2 linked regions of the Stegostoma tigrinum genome follow. The protein of the gene in region 1 interacts with the protein of each later gene in a pairwise test. Links are inferred from orthologs where the notes say so. Each region holds a gene or a part of one and is shown on either strand. Other genes may lie near its edges.

The links.
Region 2: the proteins of RNA-binding protein EWS-like (region 1) and mvk interact in a two-hybrid assay, tested with the Homo sapiens proteins (2 studies listed by BioGRID and IntAct). The two-hybrid records come from large-scale screens. The link is inferred for Stegostoma tigrinum from reciprocal best matches to the Homo sapiens genes EWSR1 and MVK.

What each region holds. Positions count from the first base shown.
Region 1 is NC_081379.1:21,259,524-21,267,134, forward strand, and holds the start of RNA-binding protein EWS-like, read right to left. Parts: upstream 3,014-7,611; 5' UTR 2,683-3,013; coding exon 2,670-2,682; intron 1-2,669. Other genes in the region: rhbdd3 (rhomboid domain-containing protein 3), read left to right, coding at 3,637-3,805. UniProt on the Homo sapiens protein: Binds to ssRNA containing the consensus sequence 5'-AGGUAA-3'. Might normally function as a transcriptional repressor. EWS-fusion-proteins (EFPS) may play a role in the tumorigenic process.
Region 2 is NC_081379.1:12,065,803-12,073,182, reverse strand, and holds the start of mvk (mevalonate kinase), read right to left. Parts: upstream 3,011-7,380; 5' UTR 2,975-3,010; coding exon 2,870-2,974; intron 1,275-2,869; coding exon 1,127-1,274; intron 232-1,126; exon of another isoform or gene 162-231; intron 1-161. Other genes in the region: mmab (corrinoid adenosyltransferase), read left to right, coding at 4,296-4,714. UniProt on the Homo sapiens protein: Catalyzes the phosphorylation of mevalonate to mevalonate 5-phosphate, a key step in isoprenoid and cholesterol biosynthesis.

The DNA of each region.
Region 1 (7,611 bases):
CATTTGTATGCATTTGAATGTTACAAGAGAAAAAAGTCAGCATAAAAACCCATTGTATATGTATATTGCAACATTGCTTTGATTAAGAATTTAAGCCCCAAATCAACTTCCAAAACTGTATTGCTGCATTTGTACTTGTTAGCAATTCCTCCTACATCCAAGACACACAAAAGCTCGTAAGCATAGAAACTTACATGTATCAAAATCCTCTCCTTACTCCTTTACCAATGAATATATTTGAAATGAGATGCAACTATTAATTATTAGGTAGGTTTAACATACAATGAATGGCTGAGGATCCTGGGATTGTATTCATTAGAGTTTAGAAGGTTGAGGGGAGATCTAATAGAAACTCAAGATAATGTATGGCTTAGAAAGGATGGATGCTGGGAAGTTGTTTCCGTTAGGCGGGGAGACGAGCACCTGTGGGCACAGCCTTAGAATTAGAGGGGGTAGATTTAAAACAGCAATGAGGAGACATTTCTTCAGCCAGAAAGTGGTGGGCATGTGGAATTCACTGCCACCGAGTGCACTGGAGGCCGGGACGTTAAATGTCTTCAAGGCAGAGATCGATAAATTCTTGATCTCACAAAGGAATTAAGGGCTACAGGGTGAGTGCAGGGAAGTGGAGTTGAAACGCCCAGACATGATTAAATGGCAGAATGGACTCGATGGGCCGAATCGCTTTACTTCCACTCCCATGTCTTATGAAGCCTATAGAATCCTTTCCCCTTCCTCAACTTTCACCTGTTGAAATATTAGTATAGACAGCTTTTCAAAGAAAATTTATGCCTCCAACCAACCACAGTTATACATCTCATTTAGTTTTGGGCCCACTCCAGAAACCTGGTTAACTGTGGACACAACATATGTAGCTTTTACTGAGGTTTTTCTAATTTTGACTTCTAGGATGAGAAGCTGCCATCCACAGGTCCAGTAAAGCTCTAATTCGGTCAATCCTGCATTCATTGAATGATTACAACCAAAATAGTTTAAAGGTCAGTTTAAACTAATAACCAATTTCAGTAACAGCTTAAAGTCTATTTTTCCTTTCCCATAAGAACCCTCAATTCTGTACCCAAGTCCCAAGTAGAATAACTATCGATAATAAAGGCTTCCTCGTTCTCCACTGCAGCCCTTCCCAGTTTATTGATGAACACTAGACACCCATGGTCAATGCCACAGATGACAGGAGACTGACCCTTAAAAGTTTAAATTAGCAGGTCTCAACAAACGACACAAAGAATCAAAAGGCTCAATTTTTAGGATGCGAGGTGTAAGTAATTTTAGGAGCATTACTGGGCTAAACGTTTGAATTGTTTTATGTAGGCTTTATTCAGCAGTGAACGTACAAACTTGACTTTTTTTAATACCAAATCCCGGATATGAATGTAAAAATATACCACAGTCAAGACTTCAAATTTATTAAAAAAAAGAAAAAGTCACACAATGGCCAGCGATTTTCAATACCAGTAAAAGATATTGAAGAGGACGACGAAAGTCACCCCATGTTCTTTAACCGGAAACATGCAAATGTTGAGTTCCCACTAAAATCATTAGGACATTAGAGAGTTCACGATTAACCTTTGGTACGCTACCAGAGGGTAACGTATATGAACCCAAAAATTAAACCTTGCTGCATCCAAAAGTTACAGAATCAATTTGAACTAAGTCACACGCGGTCCCCACAGTACCGTCAAACAAAAAGAAATTTCAGATCCTATGCGCGACTCCATTTTGGCACAGTGCCAACAGTTAAAAACATTCTTTAAAAATGTAAAATGAGCCACGCCGATATAAAGAGCCGATCGGTTCGTAGCAAGTGTTGCGCGATTTTGGTGGGGTGGAAAAAAAATCGAACCGACTTTTCAAAAGTTGCAAAATCCCAAATGGTGCAGTTTTTAAAAAAAAATCAATTTAATCACACCAGATTCGAAAATACGTATAGAGGACTGGGGAGATGAATCTCTACGCAAAGTATTTGTTACGAAACGTTGTACTGGCTGACCCTCGCCCTCTTCTCCTTTCCCCACCCCGACTAGGCCTCGACGCTAACGGATCGCCAGGAAAGGGACACACTTCCGCCCCGTCGGTGAAAACTCCGCCTCGGAGTCTCCCAAGGGCGAGGGAGCGTGGCGGCAGTGGCAGCCGGTCAACACTAGCGGAGCGGGCCCGGCTTCGTCGTCGGCTTTCACACGTTGACCCCCGCAGCTTTGTGGCGCAGCTACGTTCCTGCGGGGGAGGTGCGCTCTCGCTCTCACACACACACACATCCCGAGGCCCCAACGGCTACAAGGCCGGCCAATCCACCAGCCTCCCTTTTCTTCACCCTCCCTCACCACTCCCCCCCCCCACCACCAACAAAAAAAAATCACCCGACACGCGATATCGGGGACTGAGGCCTAAACCCTCTTCCAATCTTTTCTAAAAAAAACGCCTCCTAGATGGTATCTTAAGTGGGGGGGGGGGGGGGGGGTGTGGGGAGAAGAAAGAAAAAAAACTCGATGTAATCGCCGGCGACCAACAACCCTTTTCAGAAAATAAAATAACACCGGTGGTGAGGTCGAAAGCAGAAAAGAACCGTTATCGTCCGGGGGTGGGTGGGGTAACCGGGCATACGACCCGAGCGCCTTTAAATCCGATGCCAACAGTTAGAGACTCCCTCTTACCCGTCGACGCCATCTTCACCGACCTCTGACTGCCTGCGAAACACGCCTGCGCGGAGCCCCGCCGGACTCAACCACTTAATTTGGCGCCTTGCGCAACTCGCGCCGGAAATGTTTTAATTCAAAAAAAAGGGCCTCGACTCCAATCGCCACGATCCCGCCCGAGTTCTCAAATTGTTACGCAGATATTACAGGTGGACACCGCCGACGACCCCTTCCCCTCTGCTTTACATAGGATTGTCAAAACGAAATTTAAAAAAAAACGATGATTACGAAAGAACGGGGCTGGCCTCTATCCGCCGATTCGCGGCCGAGGCTTTATGTTTAAATGTCTGCCTCCACGTCGCGCTATTTAAAGACAAGGCGGCGCACTGATGCGTCCAGCGTAACGCGGTAAACCGTTCGGGTAGAACAATGGAGGGAATGTAGCGCCTTGTTGATGGTTCCGGGCCGGTCGCGATGGAAACGCGGCCATTTCGCTTCAGCCACCATCACTATGCGTACCTCGTATCCCCGCTTCTCTTTTCTTTCGATTCTCTCCTCCATTGCGTTGGGCGCGCGGACATTATGTCTTTCCTCACGGGTTTGAAAGCGGGCTGAAATAAAACGCACCGTCTCCACTGTCATACAATCCGTAACCTTGCACGGAGGTTTTGTTTTAATATAATCAGATCCGCCATAACGTGGCTGTAGTAAAGACAACACCGCCCTTCACTCCTTCAAGTCTCCCTCCCTCTCTGCTCGACGCCAGTCAGCGATGCTCGGTCCTGTTGTGGGGTGTATCTCAGGGGTGTGGTGGGTGTCTCCACCCCGGTAAAGAGCCAACGAAGAGGGAGGCCGGTGATCGGGCACCGAGTAAGAAGGTCTTCGGAGGAACTCCACACCCACCCCGATATTATTATTATCATCATCATGATGTCGCGGCGACAATAATCAAGACATTTTCTTCTCCGACCCGCCGGGGGTTGGGATGGGACGCTGCGGCGACTGGGTGCGGGCCGGCCTCGGGGTGGCCCGAGTCAGGGCCCGGGTGCCGAGCGCCAGCGCCGCCTTCCTCGCCCTTGTTCTCTTGTTGTGGCTGACCGGGCCCGAGGAGGCTTTTACCCTGACAGCCAGCTCGGTGCTCTCTCACCGCCAAGGTAAGTGCCTCATCCTCATCCACCACCAAATTAGCAAATTTACTGGATGGTGGGACTAAATCCTAATCCGAGATAACTCCATAGCAAACTGTCCAAAACACACCGAGCCTCTGACTTGACGACCGGATTGGGCCAGAAATTCTGCCTGTAGTGTTTTGGACGAATACTTGGGTAAAAATAACGTGCAAGAGTATGAGAGGAGTAAAAATAGGTGACTGGTACTAAGAAAATGATGCCTGTTTGATGAGTTGGTGCAGGCAAAATGGATCGAATGGTCTCCGTCTACGCTGTAACACTTAATGTGAGTTGCATCCTAGTTTAGATGTTAAAAATGGTAAAGTTTGCTTCGGTTATCATTTATATGTGGAAATACAGTCATAGAGTTTTACAGCATAGTAGGACGCCCTTTGGCTCATTGTATCGATGTAGGTTCGTCAGGCACCTGTCTACTTTCGTCCTAATTCTCAGCACTTGGTCCGTAGCCTTGTATGCTGTGACACTTCAAGTGTACATCTAAACACATCTTAAATGTTGGCCACCGCCTTTCAGCCAGAGTTCCAAATACTCAATTTCCCTCTGCGTGACAAAATCTTCTGCTTAGATCTCTTTTAAAGCTCCTGCCCTTACCCTAAATTTGTGTTTCTTGTATTAAGGGGGAAAATATATTCCTATTGACCCCACCTGTGCCCTCCATAATTTGTATACTTCAACCAGGTCCTGCATCAGCCTTCTCTGCTCCAAGCAAAATGAATGAGTTGTCGGTGGAAATGGTGGAGGCTGGTACAATTATGACATTTAAAAGACATCTGGATGGATATAAGAATAGGAAGGATTTAGAGGGATATGGGCAAAATGCTGACAAATGGGACTAGATTAATTTAGGATATCTGGTTGGCGTGGACAAGTTAGACTGATACATTTGTTTCCGTGCTATACATTTCTATGATTCCAGAGATACAATTCCAGCTATGGTCTAACCTGCATCTGACACAGCTCCATCAAAACCTCCTTGTTCTTGTATTCACTACCTCACTCAATAAAGGCAAGAATCCCATATGCCGCCTTAACTATCCTATCCATCTGTATTGTTGCCTTCAAGGACCTATGAACATGCACAGGCCTACTTCATCATGTACTCCTTTACCTTGCTGTTCTTCCCAAAATACATGTGACATGCTTTTTGGCATTAAACCCAGTTTCTAACTTTTAGCCATTTGAGGAAACCAACCATATCTTCCCACAGTCTAAAGTTTTTGTCCTCACTGTTTACAACACTTGTTTTTTTTTGTTACCTACAAACTGATTAAATCACCAACATCCATGACTAAATCATTAATGCAAACTAACCTGTGGTATGTCACTGGACGAGACATTCAGTTGTAAGAACAACCTTCAATCAGCACCCTGTGTGTCCTGCCACTGAGCCAATTTTAAACTGCCCAGGATTTGAAGCATCCATCAATTTGAAAGGAAAGTGGAAAAGCAAATCTTTTAATTTTAGGAATACAGACATTTACTTGCCAGATTCCTTTTATATCCAGGAAATCTGAAATCAATATAATGTTCATTACCTTTCCCATACACTATAGTTCATTTGACATGTATTTATAGACCAACGATTATTACATTTTTATTGCATTCCTTGTAATATTGTATAAAGATGAAAATGGTTTACATGTATTTGGACTAAAGATGTTTAAAACACAGATGTGTCTGTGGCACTACTTTACTGAGCAATTAGAAGCTAATTCACAAATTCCGATTAAAGCTTTTCAATGCAAAATGCCCGCAGATTTCTCGACTCCTCAGTATTTTGTGCATTTTGTATTTCTGTATCAGGTTCCCAGCTGCAGCAGTATTTTGCACTGGCATAAATTAACCCCATAGCCCCTGGCTTTCTCCTTTGGAATGCTTTGCTGGCCCAAAGAAATTTACCCTAAAAATCCTAAAGAAGTACAAACAATTACTTTGGGCAAACAAGTGCCTGTTTGGCTGAATGATAACATTCTGATCTGCAAGTAAGGAACATAGAACATTACAGCACAGTACAGGCCCTTCGGCCCTCGATGTTGTGCCGACGTGTCATACCAATCTGAAGCCCATCTAACCTACACTATTCCATGTACATCCATATGCTTATCCAATGACGGCTTAAATGTACCTAAAGTTGGCAAATCTACTACTGTTGCAGGCAAAGCGTTCCATTCCCTTACTACTCTCTGAGTAAAGAAACTACCTCTGATATCTGTCCTATATCTTTCACCACTCAATTTAAAGCTATGCCCCCTCGTGCTCGCTGTCACCATCCTAGGAAAACGGCTTTCCCTATCCACCCTATCTAACTCTCTGATTATTTTATATGTTTCAATTAAGTCACCTCTGAACCTTCTTCTCTCTAATGAAAACAGCCTCAAGTGCCTCAGCGTTTCCTCGTAAGACCTTCCCTCCATACCAGGCAACATCCTAGTAAATCTCCTCTGCACCCTTTCCAAAGCTTCCACATCCTTCTTATAATGCGGTGACCAGAACTGTACACAATACTCCAAGTGCAGCCGCACCAGAGTTTTGTACAGCTGTGGCATAACCTCTTAAGTGGCAACTTTAAATGCCACATTTTCATTTTCTAGACTGACAATTCAGTGCGCTATTAAATGATCATCACATGATTGGAAATGTTCATTTTCGAGTGAGATCTTTCAGCTGGAGCTAAAATAGCTCATGGTAAAAGAAAACATAGTTGTGTTCCCAAATGTAGTGATCAATGTTTATTCTTCAACAGCAAAAACCCCAAATATATATTTCAAAGATAGTAAGAACTGCAGATGCTGGAGAATCTGAGATAACAAGATTAGAGCTGGATGAACACAGCAGGCCAAGCAGCATCAGAGGAGCAACGAAGCTGACGTTTCAGGCCTAGTCCGTTTTTCAGAAATGGGGGAGGGAACGGGGTTCTGAAATAAATAGGGAGAGAGGGAGAGGTGCATGGAGGGGGAAGATAGGTGGAGAGGAGACAGACAGGTCAAAGAGGTAGGGATGGAGCCAGTAAAGGTGAGCATAGGTGGGGAGTTAGGGAGGTCAGTCCAGGGAGGAGGGACAGGTCAAGGGTGTGGGATGAGGCTGAGGTTTTCTGGATGATCAGTTATTTTGATAGAGACAAAACTCTCTAGACTCAACAATTGGAGGTAATAGATTTAAAGTTATTGCGGTAAGAAGAGCGAAGATGTGGATTTTTCTTTTAGTTTTCAGTGTCTGGAATGCTCTACCTCCGCAGGTGATGGAAGCTGATTCATAAATAAATATAAATATAACCATACTAGAGGATAAATAAGGGTTATGGGATTTTAAAAAAAACATGGGGGTTTAAAAATGTCTGCTCTTTCAAGGACAGGCCAAATGGCTTCCTTCTGTGTTGTAAGTTCCTATGATCAAACAGACTATACTTCCCGAATAATGAATGAGCTACAAGATACTTTCAGCCATTCTGAAGATGTGTCTGTCTGCTATAAGTGCAAATTCTTTCACTGTCAGAGTAGATAAATACAGCAAGAAAATTATGCAGAGTAAAGTTGCAAAGGAAGTAAGTTAATTAGCAGTTCCTTGTTTGTGGTGTTGGTTGAAAGATGAATTAGGAGAACTTCCTCCTGGTTTACTGTAGAATCTTCTGCTCGATTTTTAGCGGATAGGTGTTAAATAGTGCGACAAAGTCTCACTAATGAGCAGCGAGAGGCTCATTTGCTTGCATTAACATCTTTTTATTACTTAATTTCATTTCATTAATATTTAGTTTTCCATTCTCCCGTCTGCCA
Region 2 (7,380 bases), about 9.2 Mb from region 1:
GAATGTATAATGGCTAAATTTGCTGATAACGCCAAGATAGACAGAAAAGTAAGTTGTCAATGGGAAGACAGCCTGCAATTGACAATAGAAAGATCAAGTATGTGAGCTAAAATTAGGCAGATGGGACATGTGGGTTGATGTGAATTTGTTCATTTTGGCAGGAACAATAGAAAAATCAGTCTACTGTTCAAATGGAGAGAGGTGGCAGATGTTGGTGCTACAGCGATCTGAGTAAGTAACATGTCTCCTATAAGAAATTGGCGCAGCTACTTTTCTTTCAGAATGTCATTATTTTGTGGAATTCTCTTCTTCAGAAAACAATGGAGGCCAGGTCATTAATTTTATTCAAAGTGGAGTTAGATAGATTTTAGATTGACAAGCAAATCAAAATGATCTTATGGATTGGAAGGCCAGGCTCAAAAAACTGAACAGCCTACTTAATTTATTCCTGTGAGAAACAGACATAAATGCCCAGTCCTGAGGAAGGGTCACCGGACCCGAAACATTAATTCTGACTTCTCTTCACAGGAGCTGCCAGACCCGTTCAGCTTTTCCAGCAACTTCTGTTTCTGTTCCTGATTTACAGCATTGCAGTTCTTTTGGTTTTTAAAAAAATGCCCCTTTGTCTTTTAATTACATTCAGGCAGAAATAGGCATCTTCCATCAATTTCTCCATCCATGCCCCAAGCAGTACATTTGGGATTTCTCATGTAACATGCAAAACTACAATGCCATGTGGATTAACACAAAGCCATGTTCCAGAATATTCGGTTAAATCATGTTTGAATGTTGCAAATTTTTCTCCCAATATTTCTTCACTTTTTATTCCCAGTTTCCTGTACCCAACTTGCTGCGAGTGTTATTTTGATCTGACCATCAAAAAAATAAGAATATCTTCTGGAATATTTCCTGCATACAATAATCACGTATCTATTCATCCACCTCAAAACAGCAGCTTGTCTTAGATCCAGATCCCACTGGTGCAAGAATCTGTGTCCCAACATGGTGCTTCTACTGGCTGCCCCATCTTTTATGCTAATTGTCTTATGAATTAATGTCTCTAAAAGAGCTTGCAGGTACAATGTGCTTTATTAATTATAATTTTGTTCATTTGTGTGCATCTTACCATCAATTGCTGACTGCAGAAACTGCAGGGCAGCAGATTTCCAACTAAGATGGACATTAATATTTGGTAAGATTAATTGCACTTTTTGATCAGCACAAGGTTGCAGCCGGAGATATGTTTTCAAGTTTAAGCTGACTGCCAGAGCTACCTACAAATACAAAAATATTTAGCATTAGCAGCTGAGAGTTTCAAAAATAATACATTGTGTTCCAACTGCAGAAGAAAATAAAATGATTTCTGTCTGCTACAATAATACCAAACAAAAGCATTTAGTTTTAAAGATGCTGATTGCCATTTGCCTTAACACCTAGTTTGCCAAAGGAACAAAAAAAAGGAAAAATAAAACACTGTACAGTTCATTAATAAAAACTGAATATAGGAGAGTGACTACAGATTGAACAAATGATTTACCACGGTTGAAGAATTACCATTTCACCTGACTCTATGACATTTTATGCCAACTGAATTAAATCAAATGAACATTCAAACTTAAAATTAGTCACAAAGGAAGCAAGGTTACTATAGTATGAGTGAAAGAAAACAAAGCAGGGTGTGTCCCTGTGATCTTCAGCATTATATCTGCTTCTGACTTCATAGATGCTGCCCGGCCCACTGAGCTTTTCCAGCAGGTTTTTTTTAAATCAACCTGTTGTGTGAACTATACATGACCCCTGGCTTTCGAAAAATACCTCACAACCCTCCTTTATAAACTAAAATTAGTTATCAAAAGTTGCTAGACTAGCAATTAGTTGCATAAAAGAACCAAAAACTAGCTGGGTTGAAATGGCATATGCGCAAGAAAACAAACTGTGCTGCATCCTAAAGATTTGTGTTGCGAGACCTCTAATTTGTTCAGATACAAAATAAGAAGGAATCACAGTCTCAGGAAGGACACAGCAGAGATAGCATCACACTGGTAAACTCAAATGAGGAGCCATCTTTGAACTGGTGGCACATATAATCCCTCATGGGACAGAGCTTCACAAAGGGTGCGGTGAAATAGATCTTAAAAGCGTGGGTTGCCTTCTTGTTTACTGGCATCTCTAGATGTGATAAGCAAAGTAAACAGGGTTATATTGTCAAATTAAAACTTCTAACTCATATTTGGACTCCTGCACAGAGCATGTGGCCACCACCCAACAATGACAATTTTTCAGAACACTGGGTCAATACAAATATGAGCAATGAGAATGATCCTTGCTGTCAGAAGGTAACATTAAAAAGAAGACTTTACAGAGTGTTTATAACTAAATTCAGCCCAGACTCTACATCAGGCCTCTACTCTCAAATATCAAGGCAAGAAGTCCTGCATTCCAGGCTCACCTCATGTATACTCACCTCAAGTAGATGTCATTGGGAAAGGACATAGTTCCTGCAATCTCCTACTCACCTTGAGCTACACAATTGAGGTTAATCCCCAGGATTACTACAAAAAAGACCTGTTTCAGATATGGTACAGAAACGTGATGGGTATTTCTTGGCCAGGTGCTAGGAAGTCTTTCCTTATGCAGTGATTAACTGCTAGATACCTCTATCAAGAAGAGCAGCTGAAGCCAGAGCACTGGAATTATGCAAGAAGTAACCAGTTGCTTTTGTAATAAGATGTAATCTTGATCTAAACTTGGTGATCTATACAACGTGAATGTGAAAATTCAAGCCATCTAACTGAGGATGTTATCAACTGTTTATTCTCTTTATAAATCAGCAACTTCATGGACAAATTCAGATAGATTCCCTTGCTACCTGTAATTGCCGTTGCGGTTTTTTCCACACCATTTGTGCTTCTTGATGTGCTGAACTGATTGAAGTCAAACTAGCCCAAATCAAACCTGAGATTCTCTCTTTCATATACAAAATGCAATGCTCGTTTTTCCTTCAGTTACATGCCAGATTACCTTCCCATGCACCACTGCATGTTCTCCATGCAATATCAACTTCCCAGGAGCAGATATAATAAATGTCTTGTTTGCCATTGTGAAGTGTACCCTGAAAGACACAAATGTATTTACTTCTTGATTAGGATCCTAAAATCAGAGTCAAAATGATATGGCAATGAAGTTATTACAGAAGCCTTAAAAAAAGATTTATCATTAGTAAAATATACTACAATCCAACATTCATAGAATATACATATATGTGTTGTTTTGAATTCCAGCAGCACAATTTATTATCCATCCATCGTGAGCTACAAGAATTTCTGATGATTTCTGAGATGTTTGCTTCTTTTAAAATTGCCTACCAAACTTGAAACAAAAATAGAAATTGCTGGATATGCTCAGCAGGTCTCATGGCATCTACAGAGAGAAATCAGAGTTAACATCTCAGGTCAAGTGACAATTCCTCAGAACTCAGCAAACATGCATTTATATCACTTTTCAGGATGTTCCAAAGCACTTTGCTACCTATGACACCTGTTGAAGTGTAACGTAGAATGCACACACATATCTATATGCAGAATGTTCTGTGGGCATCAGCAAGATTCTGCTCTTTTAAGGGAATTCCTGAAGAAAATACTAGACTCAAAACACTAGCTTTGTCTCCACGGATGCTGCCAAGCCAGTTGAGTTTGTCCAACACTTTCTGATTATATTTCAGCTATCCAACATCTAAAGTATTTTGCTTTTAAGTGATGTTGGTTGAGGGATAAGTATTTGTCAGAGAAGTCCCACATGTTTTTTTCCTTCGAAGTAGTGCTTTGGGATCCTTTTGTATCCACAAGGATGCACGTTTCGCGCTGCGGCACTCCGTGGACGCCTTATTTGATATTCACCCTGAAAGCCAGGGTGTTGCACACCACATCATAGGCAACATCTTTGAACGTTAATGAAGCTGTGGCACTCACAAATCCTAACTTCTTATTTTATCCTGACCACAACCCAAATGCAATGGCTTCGCTTGATTTTGATTCCGATGAAGAAGGGTCCATTACCTGGAAGCTTCAGGAGCAGCTGCGTGTTTCCAGCATTTTCTGCTGTTTAATGAAACGTTTCATTCTACTATCAAAAGAGAGAGCGAGAGGTGAGAAGAGGTGGAAATTGTCCAAATTATTGACATTGATGTCGAACACCAAAAATATTTTAAAGACCCATCCAACGACACCACAGCTGCCGCCTCGCCACCAAAGCACCACCCTCAGGAGGCGGTGCCTCATTCCAACCCAGCCAATCAAATGGCAGCGCTCCGGTCACCACGCACCAACGAGGGAGCGAGATCCCCTGTTAATCGGACGCCGCTCCAACGCATCACGGCCGGGGCAGCACCTCCAGCCAAACACCGAGCTCTTGGAGAGTCACGACCAATCAAAGGATGGACTCTTTGTTTCGGAGCCAATGAACACGGCCCGGCTGATCGACGGGACGAGCCTAACCGACCAATGGGAGACGGAGAAGCCGGGAAGGGAGCGGGGTGGTTGTTCCGTGCACTGGCCAATGGGGTGATAGGGTTCCGGTGGCCTGACGGCGGCGCGAGCGCGAGGGGTCGGATGTTGGCGGTTTTTCTCCGGGCGGCTGCAAAGGGGCGCGGCTGCCGAGTACCGGCTGCCGCTTGGTTATGGAGAAGGCGGAGCTACTCCAGTGCAGACAGTGATGGGTGAGCGCTGTCTGAAGAGGAAGAACTAATAAGTTGGGGGGGGAGAGACGAGAAGGAGAGGTGTGTTAACATTGACGTGTATGTTAATGAAAGATGTGTTGACATCAGTCCTCACCGTAGGCCCCGTCGTTCACCGTCCACAAGAATGGAGATTTTCTTAAAAAACATCGTTTTGTGGGATATGAAAGATAATGGGAACTGCAGATGCTGGAGAATTCCAAGATAATAAAATGTGAGGCTGGATGAACACAGCAGGCCAAGCAGCATCTCAGGAGCACAAAAGCTTTTGTGCTCCTGAGATGCTGCATGGCCTGCTGTGTTCATCCAGCCTCACATTTTATTGTTTTGTGGGATATGAGCGTCGCTGGCTGACTAGCATTTATTGCATGCCTTCGTTGCCCTTGAGAAGGTGGCGATGAATTGCCTTCTGAACCACTGTTGCTCTGTCAGTTGGCCAACAATGCCATTAGGGAGGGAATTCCAGGATTTTGACTCAGCAACAGTGAAGGAATGGTGATTTTATTTCCAGCTCAGAATGGAGTGTGGCTTGTATGTATCTGCTGCTCTTGTCTTCCTAGGTAGAAGTGGTTTTGGGTTTGGAAGGTGCTGTCTCAAGATCTTTGACCTTCTTCAGGGCATCTTGTAGATAGTACACACTGCTGCTACTGAGCATCGGTGGTGGAGGCTGTTGGTGCTTGTGGATTACAGTGTGATGAAATACTCCCACATGCTCAGATGGATATAGCTCCAGCAACATTTGAGATGCTGCACACCATCCAGGACAAAATTCCCTGTTTGAATGGCATTGCATCTACTCCCCTCATCATTGTCATTCAGTAGCAAGCAGTACTGTGTACAAGATGCACTGCAGATAACACTGTACATTCCACACCTATGACCACTGTAGGAGGAGGACAGCAGCGATATAGAAACACTACCACCTGTATGTTTTCCTCTGAGCTACTTGCCACTCAAAATTGGTAATGTGTTTCTATACCTTCTGAGTCAAATTCCTTCCCAAACAGCACTGTTGGTGTACCAAATGGACTGGAGGGGTTTGGGAAGATAACTTCCTTGTCAGCATCAACCAGGGATGGCAATAAGTGCTGCCCCAGCTGGTGATGTCTGCATCCTTTTATTGAATAAAAGAAATTGACACTAGCTGAGGGAACATACAGTTTAAAAACAACAATAATGCCTGGAATTGAATTTATTGGACTCCCATTTGGAAGTACACAAGTACGTCAGGCTTGCTTGTTTTATTGTTTTTGTTTCCATCTGGCACTGCCTTCCTTTTGTTACTACTTTTTTGCCATACCAAACAAATGATGGGACCAGAGATAATGGGAACTGCAGATGCTGGAGATTCCAAGATAATAAAATGTGAGGCTGGATGAACACAGCAGGCCAAGCAGCATCTCAGGAGCACAAAAGCTGACGTTTCGGGCCTAGACCCTTCATCAGAGAGGGGGATGGGGGGAGGGAATTGGAATAAATAGGGAGAGAGGGGGAGGCGGACCGAGGATGGAGAGTAAAGAAGATAGGTGGAGAGGGTGTAGGTGGGGAGGTAGGGAGGGGATAGGTCAGTCCAGGGAAGACGGACAGGTCAAGGAGGTGGGATGAGGTTAGTAGGTAGCTGGGGGTGTGGCTTGGGGTGGGAGGAAGGGATGGGTGAGAGGAAGAACCGGTTAGGGAGGCAGAGACAGGTTGGACTGGTTTTGGGATGCAGTGGGTGGGGGGGAAGAGCTGGGCTGGTTGTGTGGTGCAGTGGGGGAAGGGGATGAACTGGGCTGGTTTAGGGATGCAGTAGGGGAAGGGGAGATTTTGAAACTGGTGAAGTCCACATTGATACCATATGGCTGCAGGGTTCCCAGGCGGAATATGAGTTGCTGTTCCTGCAACCTTCGGGTGGCATCATTGTGGCAGTGCAGGAGGCCCATGATGGACATGTCATCAAGAGAATGGGAGGGGGAGTGGAAATGGTTTGCGACTGGGAGGTGCAGTTGTTTGTTGCGAACTGAGCGGAGGTGTTCTGCAAAGCGGTCCCCAAGCCTCCGCTTGGTTTCCCCAATCATCCCAAAACCAGTCCAACCTGTCTCTGCCTCCCTAACCGGTTCTTCCTCTCACCCATCCCTTCCTCCCACCCCAAGCCGCACCCCCAGCTACCTACTAACCTCATCCCACCTCCTTGACCTGTCCGTCTTCCCTGGACTGACCTATCCCCTCCCTACCTCCCCACCTACACCCTCTCCACCTATCTTCTTTACTCTCCATCCTCGGTCCGCCTCCCCCTCTCTCCCTATTTATTCCAGTTCCCTCCCCCCATCCCCCTCTCTGATGAAGGGTCTAGGCCCGAAACGTCAGCTTTTGTGCTCCTGAGATGCTGCTTGGCCTGCTGTGTTCATCCAGCCTCACATTTTATTATCTTATAAATGATGGGACCATGTCAGTCCTGCTGTTGGCACCAGTTTTCTGCAGTAACAGGAAGATGGAGCCCCATTTAAAGGGAAAATAATAGATACGTTGAATATGATATGTTTGTAGTCTTTTTAATTCAATTTAATATATATGTAAGGTGTATGTGGGGATATAACACCTTTCATACAAATTAACACAATCATACAAAGAACTCAGATTCACTAAATGCTTCTAATCTTAAATTTAAA